Macaca mulatta: one gene and its partners. The protein of the gene in region 1 interacts with the protein of each later gene in a pairwise test. Links are inferred from orthologs where the notes say so. Each region holds a gene or a part of one and is shown in the gene's direction. Other genes may lie near its edges. The genes, in order: TNIK, SPTBN1 and AGTPBP1.

Region 1 (3,655 bases):
TATATCCAAGAGCCATTTAAAATATTTCTTGATTTATCTGAGCCTATATGTGCTTAGATAAGTTTTTATTTTCAAGATGATTTTAAATTTCTTTAAAAATATGAACCTATTTATTTCTTCTTTCACCCTGAAAATAAGCAAAATCTGAAGGGATTTTTTTTCTTTTCTTTTTAAAATGTATTTTAGGTCCAGGGGGTACATATGCAGGTTTGTTTCATGGGTAGTTTGCATAATGGTGAGGCTCAGGCTTCCAGTGAACTCATCATCCAAATTGCGAACATTATACCCAACAGGTAAATTTTCAGCCCTTAACCTGCCACTCCCCTTTTAAGAGTCCTCAGTGTCTATTATTTCCAGCTTTGTTTCCACGTGCACCCCATTTTTAGCTCCCACTTATAAGTGAGAACATGTGTTATTTGACTTTCTGTTTCTGGGTTATTTTACTCTAGGAGATTGGCCTAGCTCCATCCATGTTGCTGCCAAGGGCACAATTTCATTTTTTTTATGGCTGCGTAGTATTCCATGCTGTATATATAACACAGTTTCTTTATCTAATCAAACATTAACGGACAACTTAGATTGATACCATGACCTTGCTGTTGTGAACAGTGCTGCAATAAACATACAAATGCAGGTGCCCTTTTGATTAAAAAAAAAAAAAGAAAAGAAAAAGTTATTTTCCTTTAGGATTTACCCAGAAGTGGAGCTGCTAGGTAGAATGGTAGTTCTATTTTTAGTTCTTTGAGAAATTTCCATACTGTTTCCCAAAGAGATTGAACTAACTTACATTCCTACCAACAGTGTATAAGCATTCCCTTCTCTCTGCAGCCTCACCACCATCTGTTACTTTTTCTGACCTTTTAGTAATAGCCATTCTGACTGGTGTGAGTTGGTATCTCATTGTGGTTTTGATTTGCATTTCTCTGATGTTTAGTGATATTGAGCATTTGTTCATCTGTTGGTTGACTGCCTCTTTTGAGAAATGTGTGTTCATGTCCTTTGCCCCCTTTTTAATAGGATTGATTTTTTCTTGTTGAATTGTTTGCATTCCTTGTAGAATCTGTTGGATGTATAGTTTGCAAATATTTTCTCCCATCATGTAGGCTGTCTGCTTACTCTGTTGATTGTTTATTTTGCCACGCAGGAGCTCATTAGCTTAATTAAGTCCCATTTGTCTGTTTTTGTTTTTGTTGCATTTGCTTTTGAGGTGTTAGTCATAAACATGTTGCCTAGGCCAATATCCAGAAGAGTTTTTCCTAGATTTTCTTATTATAGTTTTGGGTACATTTAAGTCTTTAATCCATTGTGCATTCATTTTTGTATATGGTAAGGGATAAAGTTCTAGTTTCATTCTTCTGCATATGGCTAGCCAACTTTCCCAGGGTGTCCTTTCCTCATTGTTTATGTTTGTTGACTTTGTCGAACATCAGTTTGTTGTAGGTATGTGGCTTTATTTCTGGGTTCTCTATTCTGTTCCATTGATCTATATGTCTATTTTTGTATCAGTGCCATGCTTCTTTGGTTATTACAGTCTTACAGTATAGTTTGATGTCAGGTAATGTGATGCCTCCAACTTTGTTCTTTTAGCTTAGGATTGCTTTGGCAATTTGGGCTCCTTTTTGGTTCCATATGAATTTTAGAATTGTCTTTTCTAATTCTGTAAAAAATGACATTGGCAATTTGTAGACTGCTTTTGGCAGTATAGTCACTTTAACAGTATTGATTCTTGTTATCCATGAGCATGGGATGTTTTTCCATTCATTTGTGTCATCTATGGTTCCCTCATCAGTGCTTTGTAGTTCTCCTTGTAGGGGTCTTTCACCTCCTTGGTTAAATGTATTATCCTAGGGGTGTGTGTGAGGTGTGTGTGTGTGTGTGTGTGTGTGTGTGTGTTATTATAAATGGGATTGAACTCTTGATTTGATTCTCGGCTTGAGCATTATTGATGTAACTGATTTTTGTGCATTAATTTTGTATCCTGAAACTTTACTGAACTTATCGGCTCCAGGAGTCTTTTGGAGGAATATTTAGGGTTTTCTAGGCATAAGATCCTGTCATCAGCAGAGATAATTTCACTTCCTCTTTTCCAGTTTGGATGCTTTTTGTTTTTTTCTCTTGCCTGACAGTTCTGGCTGGGACTTCCAATACTATAGGAGTGGTAAGAGTGGAAATTCTTGTCTTGTTCCAGTTCTTAGGGGGAATGCTCTTAGCTTTTTCCCATTCAGTATGATGTTGGCTGTGGGTTTGTCATACATAGCTCTTATTATTTTGAAATATGTTCCTTCAATGCCAACTGCTATGGATCTTTTCCTAGGGTTCAGGTGAAGAGATGAGCAAAAATAGTCTAATAAACACTTTATGTCATGAAAAGTTATAAAGCAAATAACTGGAAACTTAATGTCATTTAAGTATATTAAAATTTTTCCTACCTAGTTTCTTTAGGACTCAGAATATTCTGTCTGTTGAGATATTTTACAAAGAAATTGATTGCCATGTGTACCAATTGTGGATTACGAATTCTCTAAGAATTAGAATCCACACTTAATAGCAAAGATTCAGAAGGCGCTTAAAGGATTGTTCAATCTCTCAAGGTCATCACTGTAAATATTGCTTATTATATCAGAGACACACACACACAGGTAAGAGTAATGAAGAGAATGCCAGACAACAGTCCGTTCTTCCATTCATCCATTCAGTAAGCATTTACTGAGTACTACTTTGTGGAGGCAAAAGCATGTGGAGACTCAATCATTGAACTAAGTTTCTGTCCATAGAATTTACAATGCTTAATATTCCATCTGTCTAAAGAGTAAAAGGATTTGTCAGTATTCGGAGCCCTTTAAGTCATTAACAGAACCCAAGGCTCCTAACACCCCCTTTCATTAGAAGCATAAACAAGCAATTATTTCACTTAGTAACTGGAATTCAAATATAAATAATAAGCAAATGGCAGCCTTTATGTCTGCCCATTTTCTGATTTTTCTACCATCTTGCCATATCTGCTGTCAGCTACTTATGTGTGGGTGAATGTAAATGCCAGGCAAGCTAACATGAAGGAAATTATGCATTCTTATTACAATGAATATCAACATCTAGACCTAGTGTTAAAGACAGTCCTAAGCAGTTATATCTCTGGATGATGAAGAGAGTCTTCAATATAAAGCAAAGGCCATAAGTGTTCTGCCAACCAAAGTTCGCTAAGGGAAGCTAAATCAGTATCTATGACAAAAAAATCCCACACCAGGAACATCACCTTCATGAAGCTGACACCCAACATCAATATTTAAATTTACATATTGTTGCTTATACATTCATTATTAATACAAAGAACTTGAATAACCTGATGTACTTCTTAACTCATAATTTTTCTATTACAGTTAAATATGAAAGGATCAAATTTTTGGTGATTGCCTTAAAGAATGCTGTGGAAATATATGCTTGGGCTCCTAAACCATATCATAAATTCATGGCATTTAAGGTAAGCAGGCATGTGATTATCTAAAAATGTGCTTTTTAAAAATTTTCAGTTTCTACCCATTAATAAAATAGTCCATATAGACCAATACCAATTTTCATATAGATAATAAGTGTAGGTACTCTTGGTTTTATTGTTTCAAAAGTAAAGACTAAGTTAAACTTAGTCTCTAAATCTTTT
Region 2 (3,655 bases), on another chromosome or scaffold:
AAATAGCCAGGCCTGGTGGTGTGCGCCTGTAATCCCAGCTATTGGGGAGGCTGAGGCATGAGCCCAGGAGGCAGAGGTTGCAGTGAGCTAAGATCACGCCACTGTACTTCAGCCTGGGTGACAGAACAAGACCCTGTCTCAAAATAATAACAATAGTAATAATGTGTTTTATATCATCTTTGGTCATGGAGTAGAGGGGATGAAGTCAGGTTATTAGCATTCATTTTTCCATTGCCTCAGTTGAAACTGTTTCAGCATTTAGCATTTATTGCTTCATTCCCATGAAACCCATGTAATGTATGCAAGCTAGGCCATTGTTGATTTTATTGAGCAGTAACTTCATGTGGAAATACTGTGTGTGTTGAATGAGTGGGTAAATCACAGATCAAATGTCCTAGGTTTGTTTTTCACAGTGACATTTTTTCTGTAGCAAACTGTTTATTTACAACCATGCTGGTTTTGTTTTCCAGGAAGGAATGCAGCTCATTTCAGAAAAGCCTGAGACGGAACCTGTGGTGAAGGAGAAACTCACTGGTTTACATGAAATGTGGGAAGTCCTTGAATCTACTACCCAGACCAAGGCCCAGCGGCTCTTTGATGCAAACAAGGCCGAACTTTTCACCCAGAGCTGCGCAGATCTAGACAAATGGCTGCACGGCCTGGAGAGTCAGATTCAGTCTGATGACTACGGCAAAGACCTGACCAGCGTCAATATCCTGCTGAAAAAGCAACAGGCAAGTGGACAAGCCTTCATGGACTTGGGTTTGTTTCTGTTTTACAGCCGTAGTCCTTACAGTCTTTTCTCACTCACTGCATTCTCAGGAGTCCACCTTCCATGGGAAAGCATTTGTAACCCAGAAAAGTACTTGCTCTAACAGCATCATACAACATTTCCAGAATAGAAAGCTACCTGTCCAGCCTAGAAAGACACAGTATTAGGAGTATTGGGTGTCGGCTGTCTGTGTATGGGATTGATAATTTTCTTAGTTAATAGGTGTTATCGCTATTTAACAGTTAAATAAATACTCATCTCACTCAATTCTGCATTTTACATTAAAGAAATATTCACATACTTTGTTGTTTAACATCTTGATTTGTGACAGTTATCTGAGTTGTTCAAGGCACTTTATAGATAATAAAAGTAACTGTTTATATTACATCACTGTAGAGGGCTTTAAGGGCAAATGAATTTACCTCAAATTTACTTGAAAACAGTTCCATTGATGTTGAAAAAGCTAATCAGTGGCAAAATCTTCCAGTGGCTCCCATTGCTGGCTTTGCAGTGTGGCCAAGTCCCTGGCCCAGCAGTTCTGCTTAGAGCCAGTCACTGCAAAAGTAGTCTCTGCTGAGCGCTGAGGCTGCTTCTTTGCCTTCAGATGCTGGAGAATCAGATGGAAGTGCGGAAGAAGGAGATCGAAGAGCTCCAAAGCCAAGCCCAGGCCCTGAGTCAGGAAGGGAAGAGCACCGACGAGGTGGACAGCAAGCGCCTCACCGTGCAGACCAAGTTCATGGAGTTGCTGGAGCCCTTGAACGAGAGGAAGCATAACCTGCTGGCCTCCAAAGAGATCCATCAGTTCAACAGGGATGTGGAGGACGAGATCGTGAGTCAACCCCGGCTGCACACATGGCTTTTCCACAAGCCCCCTTGCCTGTCCTAAAGCCCATGTTCTCACTTCTCAGTCAACCTCACCTTGGGCCACGTTGGCAAGTTGAGCTGTCAGAGTCCACGCTCTGGATGGTCTAAAGTTTCTTTCCCTTTTCACACTAAGTGCAACTCCATTGTGCCTCTCATGTTATCTAGGGATACTCTAGGATTTTAACGGCCCTAAAACAGACTTTTTAAAAGTAATGAGGACTCACAGTGAGTCTGATCTTGAGGATGAGGTAAAGTTGGAAATACTCTCCCTACCCCTGTCTCGGAGAACAACGGCATGCTTCCCCAGACAGCCCTCCCGAGGGGGCTGAGCACTCTCTGAAGCTCACCCTTGCTGTCCCTCACTGCCCCTCACCGCTCTTGTTTCTGTTGTGTATTTGTTCCTCTGAGTGGATCTGACCACTTATTTACAATTTTTCCCAGTTGTGGGTTGGAGAGAGGATGCCTTTGGCAACTTCCACGGATCATGGCCACAACCTCCAGACTGTGCAGCTGTTAATAAAGAAAAATCAGGTAAGCCTTTCTGCTCGGGCCATCTCTGTCTGATAAATAATTGCTCTAAATTATGAGACTGAGAATGGCAGAGAGTTTTGAAGCCTTGCGATTTCTTTTTGGCCCTAACAGCTTGACATAAGCACCAGACGGTTGCCATTTAGCAAGCCTTTGTGTGTGTTGTCTACTCCCTCCAGACCCTCCAGAAAGAAATCCAGGGACACCAGCCTCGCATTGATGACATCTTTGAGAGGAGCCAAAACATCGTCACCGACAGCAGCAGCCTCAACGCTGAGGCCATCAGACAGAGGCTTGCCGACCTGAAGCAGCTGTGGGGTCTCCTCATTGAGGAGACGGAGAAACGCCACAGGCGGCTGGAGGAGGCACACCGGGCCCAGCAGTACTACTTTGACGCTGCCGAGGCCGAAGCCTGGATGAGCGAGCAGGAGCTGTACATGATGTCAGAGGAGAAGGCCAAGGTGAGAGGAGGCGGGAAGCATCCCTGCCCCAGGTGAACCTTGGATTTAAACCCTGAGCTTGCTTTCTGCTGGCGGCTCTGTCTTCATAAAAACTTCCCTTGTAGCCTTTGAGTGTTAAGGGGACACCATGTGCATGAAGGTGTCTGAAGTCCAGCTGCTGGTTTCCCTTTGCTGCAGCATTTTCTTATCTGAACCCTAGTGTGCCATTAAGACCAGGTTCATCCCTTCATCTTTGAAATATGCCAGAGTCCTTCCTGCTATCTATTTATAGGTTCCCTAAACTTTACAAAATACAGGATGGCTTGGAGACAATTTGAAAGTATTGCAAGGTTCCCGGAATGCTGTCATTTACATAACTGATGGACCTTGAGGAATTCCAGTGAACCAGGCACACTTGGTCTGCCCAAGCTTTTCTCTGAGAGGGGCCCTGCTCATTCTGTGTCCTCCTTGTGTTTATCTTCTGCACAGGCTTCTGTGGTCCAGTCCATATGAAAGCTCTTGGAACACTTCTGTGTTCCACTGTCCATACCGTACCTCTGGAGTTTCTCTTTCTACTGATCCTTCCTCCTACCCTGCTGAGCAGCTGGTCTGTCGCTCCTTAAGGTGGTGTAGGGCCGGAGGGTACAGCTGTGGTTGTGACGTTTTACTGTCTTTGCAGGATGAGCAGAGTGCTGTCTCCATGTTGAAGAAGCACCAGATCTTAGAACAAGCTGTGGAGGACTATGCAGAGACTGTGCATCAGCTCTCCAAGACCAGCCGGGCCCTGGTGGCCGACAGCCATCCTGAAAGGTGAGTGCTGCTTCATGAGGTTGAGACCCAGCTGTCGATTCCTCTCAGTGAGGGTCTCTTGCTAACCCCCACCAAAAGAAAATGGCAGCATTCATCATGAATTGCTGGTAAGGCAAATCTTTGAGAAGCATTTTTAAAACAGTCCCATCATTTAAAACATCCTATCATGATTAGGATGGGTGAACTGTTACACTAGGAAATTGCTCTTGTGGGTTAAATATCTCCTTCTAGCCAAGGGTCT
Region 3 (3,344 bases), on another chromosome or scaffold:
ACGTGGGTTTTGTATTCTTCCCACCTGTGGGGAGACGCTGGCCACTCTTGTCTATCTGGAAGCAGCCTCTGTAGTTCTGGGTGCCCCCAGCCCCTGTGCTGGCACAGTGCATAACTTTTTAGTATGTGTCTCTTCCTCACATTTCCATTATCATTTCTTCTTGTTATGACTGTCTCCAGGAAGAAAATAAGTATGTGGCAAGAGAAGGTTTGTCTTTTCTCCCTTCCCTCTTTTCCCCTTCTTTGCTTCAGTTAGTTTTCCATTTATTCTAAGAATCACCTGGGACTCCTCTGAGAATTTGAAATACAAACTCAAGGAGGAAGAATGAATTATTGTATTTCAAAAGAAACATGGTAAGTCATTTTAAAAGGCCAAATAAGGTCAGGCGCGGTGGCTCACACCTGTAATCCCAGCACTTTGGGAGGCCAAGGCAGGCAGATCACTTGAGGTCAGGAGTTCGAGACCAGCCTGACCAACATGGTGAAACCTCATCTCTACTAAAAATACAAAAATTAGCCAGGTGTGGTGGCGGGAGCCTTTAGTCCCAGCTACTCAGGAGACTGAGGCGGGAGAATTGCTTGAACCCAGAGGCAGATGTTGCAGTGTGTCGAGATCACACCACTGCACTCCAGCCTGGGCAACAGAGAAAGACTCCATCTCAAAAAAAACAAAACAAAAACAAAAAACACAAATAATCATTTCTTTTAACCTAACTTGTTTCTCTAAAGACCTAACAGATTCATACTAAATATTTTAGTTGCAAATTAAAAACTAAAATTGTTCTTGTGAGGGTTAGGTATGTTGTTGAGTCTCACACAATCCTCCAAGCCACTTAGCCTGATTTATTTGGACTACTCTATCATATTGCAAGCTCTGAACTTTTAAGAGGAAGTTTGCTACATTAAATCAAGGTGGTTTTGCAATGTATTTTTCTCTTTAATGAGCAAGATTAAAGCCAGTATAGGAAAAAAGGTACTCTTGCCAGATAAAGTCTTGCAAACTTCTCCGAAAATTAGAACCATGTAATCTATTAACTTTCCCATCCCACCTTAACTTCCAGATATCTGGACTGAATTTCATACTCAGTTGCATGAATTCTCTCATTTTAGGTGCCTAATGACATCTGCTTCTCTCTTATTTTAACAGATTATTGTTCCCTTTTCATTGTCTGATTTTATAGGTTTTAAATGCATCAGTTATAGGAAATCCTTTTTGGAAACAGGTGGGAAATAAATAAACATACATCTATATGAAATTAAGGTAGTTTTGGGCACTACTTTAGAGATTTTGAAATGTTTCTGTAGTGTTTCTTTGATACTGTGTGTGGGGGGGTGTATCTCACAAATAGGGAGATATCAGAATGATGTGATAATTTTCTAGGAAAGAATACGTTACAGAACCTAGTAGAAAAGTTGTCTCAGTCCCAAACGACTTACTTCATGAAATATTTAGAAGCACTTAGTGCTTTTAAGCAAATGTCTTATTCTGTGTCCTTAGGGAAAGTATTAATCTGGGTATAGAGTGTTCACTTGTTTTTCATTTTTATTCTTGACCTACAGAAACTCGGGGGGTGGGTACATGGGCTGTTTTTATGGCAGCTAATCACTTTATAGACTTAGAGTGAGTGGTTTTAGTGCATTGCTCGAGAAGCCAATTAAATGCTCACAGTTTCTTGTAAGGACTGTTGCAATTATTTTTGCCTGATTTACAGTGACTAAAGTAGAATTTAAAAATAAATCTTAGCTTGCAAATTGGTGAAGTCTTTCAAAGAAATAACCTGATGAGAGAGTTCACTGTTTTTTTAAGCTATCTAATGTTAGGATATATGTCGATACTCTTGTAATATAATTAATAATTCACATTTCACTGCTTATTGTCAATACAAGGAACTTTCACCTATTATAAATCTCAACTTGTTCATTTGGATAAGATTTTTAAAGTTAATGCAGCTTATATCATGTTGGAATCAAAGAGTTAGTCCAGTATGGTGAAATAATCTTACATTAGGACCTTAAGACCTAACAAAGTCTTGTATGGTCTGTGTGTTTTGGCTGCAGCCCTACCACTTACGTTTTGGATGAAGATGAACCTCGATTCCTTGAAGAAGTTGATTACAGTGCAGAAAGTAATGATGAGTTAGATATTGAGTTGGCTGAAAATGTAGGAGATTATGAACCTTCTGCTCAAGAAGAAGTGCTTTCTGACTCTGAATTATCAAGAACATACCTACCTTGAGCCCGCTACCATCTCCTGTTAACCGCAAAGAAGAAATGGAATATCTTGGTTTTTATTTCACAGGAAACTTGAGAGAAATGAGTTTATACAGAGCTGACTCAAAAAGACAAAAAGTAACTTGGGCCAGTTTGGTTTCAAGACAATAAATATGTTATTAATTAATGATAAAATTGGCACTTGTTTTATTTTAGATATTCAGTGCACTTTATGTAGCATTGAATGATCAAATATTGGATTTACCTTTAAAAAACCTGAGTATCATTGCATGAATTTTTATCTCCCTATGGTTATATCCTGCATCAAATGGATAATTTTGAAGTGTGTTCAGAATATAAAATTGAAATTTTAGAGTTGTTGAAAATCCTGAGTTGTTGAAAACTAATATATATGTACATGGATTTCTATAGATGTGTTTGTTTAGAAGTGGGTAGATATTGAAGATAAGACTGTTCTTCAGAATCATGTTAACTATTGGGTTGTGACTGAAGTAATCCAGGGTTTGCCTTGAAACCATTACATTCTACATTTACCAAATTAAACAAATAAAACTGTATTAAATGTTGCATTCATTTTGTCATCTTCTTTAACCAGCTCAGATTATTTGATGTATAGAACTTTGTGAGAATGTGATAAAAACCCAGAATTGGACACAGTGATAAAAAGTTGCTTTTAAGAAAGTTAGCTGGGCATGGTGGCTCATGCCTGTAATCCCAGCACTTTGGAAGGCTGAGGTGAGTGGGTCACTTGAGGTCAGGAGTTTGAGCCTGGTCAACATGGTGAAACCCTGTCTACTAAAAATACAAAAATTAGCCAGGAGTGGTGGCACGTGCCTGTAATCCCAGCTACTCAGGAGGCTGAGGCAGGAGAATCACTTGAACCCAGGAGATAGCGCCACTGCACTCCAGCCTGGGCGACAGAGTGAGACTGTCTCATTAAAAGGAAAAAAAAAAGCTGAATATGCTAGTCTTAAATTTTGTTATGATAGAGGTATACCCACACCTATCATAAGAGATATATCTGAAAGCCCATTTCTCTAATACTTTGCCTCATGGATATACCTAAAGTGTATCACTGCAGTTGAATAGTTTGTTAAGAAGCTTGCAAAATGC

Evidence for each region.
Region 2: the proteins of TNIK (region 1) and SPTBN1 interact in a two-hybrid assay, tested with the Homo sapiens proteins (2 studies listed by BioGRID and IntAct). The link is inferred for Macaca mulatta from reciprocal best matches to the Homo sapiens genes TNIK and SPTBN1.
Region 3: the proteins of TNIK (region 1) and AGTPBP1 interact in a two-hybrid assay, tested with the Homo sapiens proteins (2 studies listed by BioGRID and IntAct). The link is inferred for Macaca mulatta from reciprocal best matches to the Homo sapiens genes TNIK and AGTPBP1.

Annotation. Positions count from the first base shown.
Region 1 is NC_133407.1:82,747,681-82,751,335, reverse strand, and holds part of TNIK (TRAF2 and NCK-interacting protein kinase), read left to right. Parts: intron 1-3,377; coding exon 3,378-3,478; intron 3,479-3,655. UniProt on the Homo sapiens protein: Serine/threonine kinase that acts as an essential activator of the Wnt signaling pathway. Recruited to promoters of Wnt target genes and required to activate their expression. May act by phosphorylating TCF4/TCF7L2.
Region 2 is NC_133418.1:70,000,220-70,003,874, reverse strand, and holds part of SPTBN1 (spectrin beta chain, non-erythrocytic 1), read left to right. Parts: intron 1-470; coding exon 471-734; intron 735-1,376; coding exon 1,377-1,601; intron 1,602-2,077; coding exon 2,078-2,167; intron 2,168-2,343; coding exon 2,344-2,625; intron 2,626-3,283; coding exon 3,284-3,414; intron 3,415-3,655. UniProt on the Homo sapiens protein: Fodrin, which seems to be involved in secretion, interacts with calmodulin in a calcium-dependent manner and is thus candidate for the calcium-dependent movement of the cytoskeleton at the membrane.
Region 3 is NC_133420.1:116,466,473-116,469,816, reverse strand, and holds the end of AGTPBP1 (cytosolic carboxypeptidase 1), read left to right. Parts: intron 1-2,057; coding exon 2,058-2,235; 3' UTR 2,236-2,800; downstream 2,801-3,344. UniProt on the Homo sapiens protein: Metallocarboxypeptidase that mediates protein deglutamylation of tubulin and non-tubulin target proteins.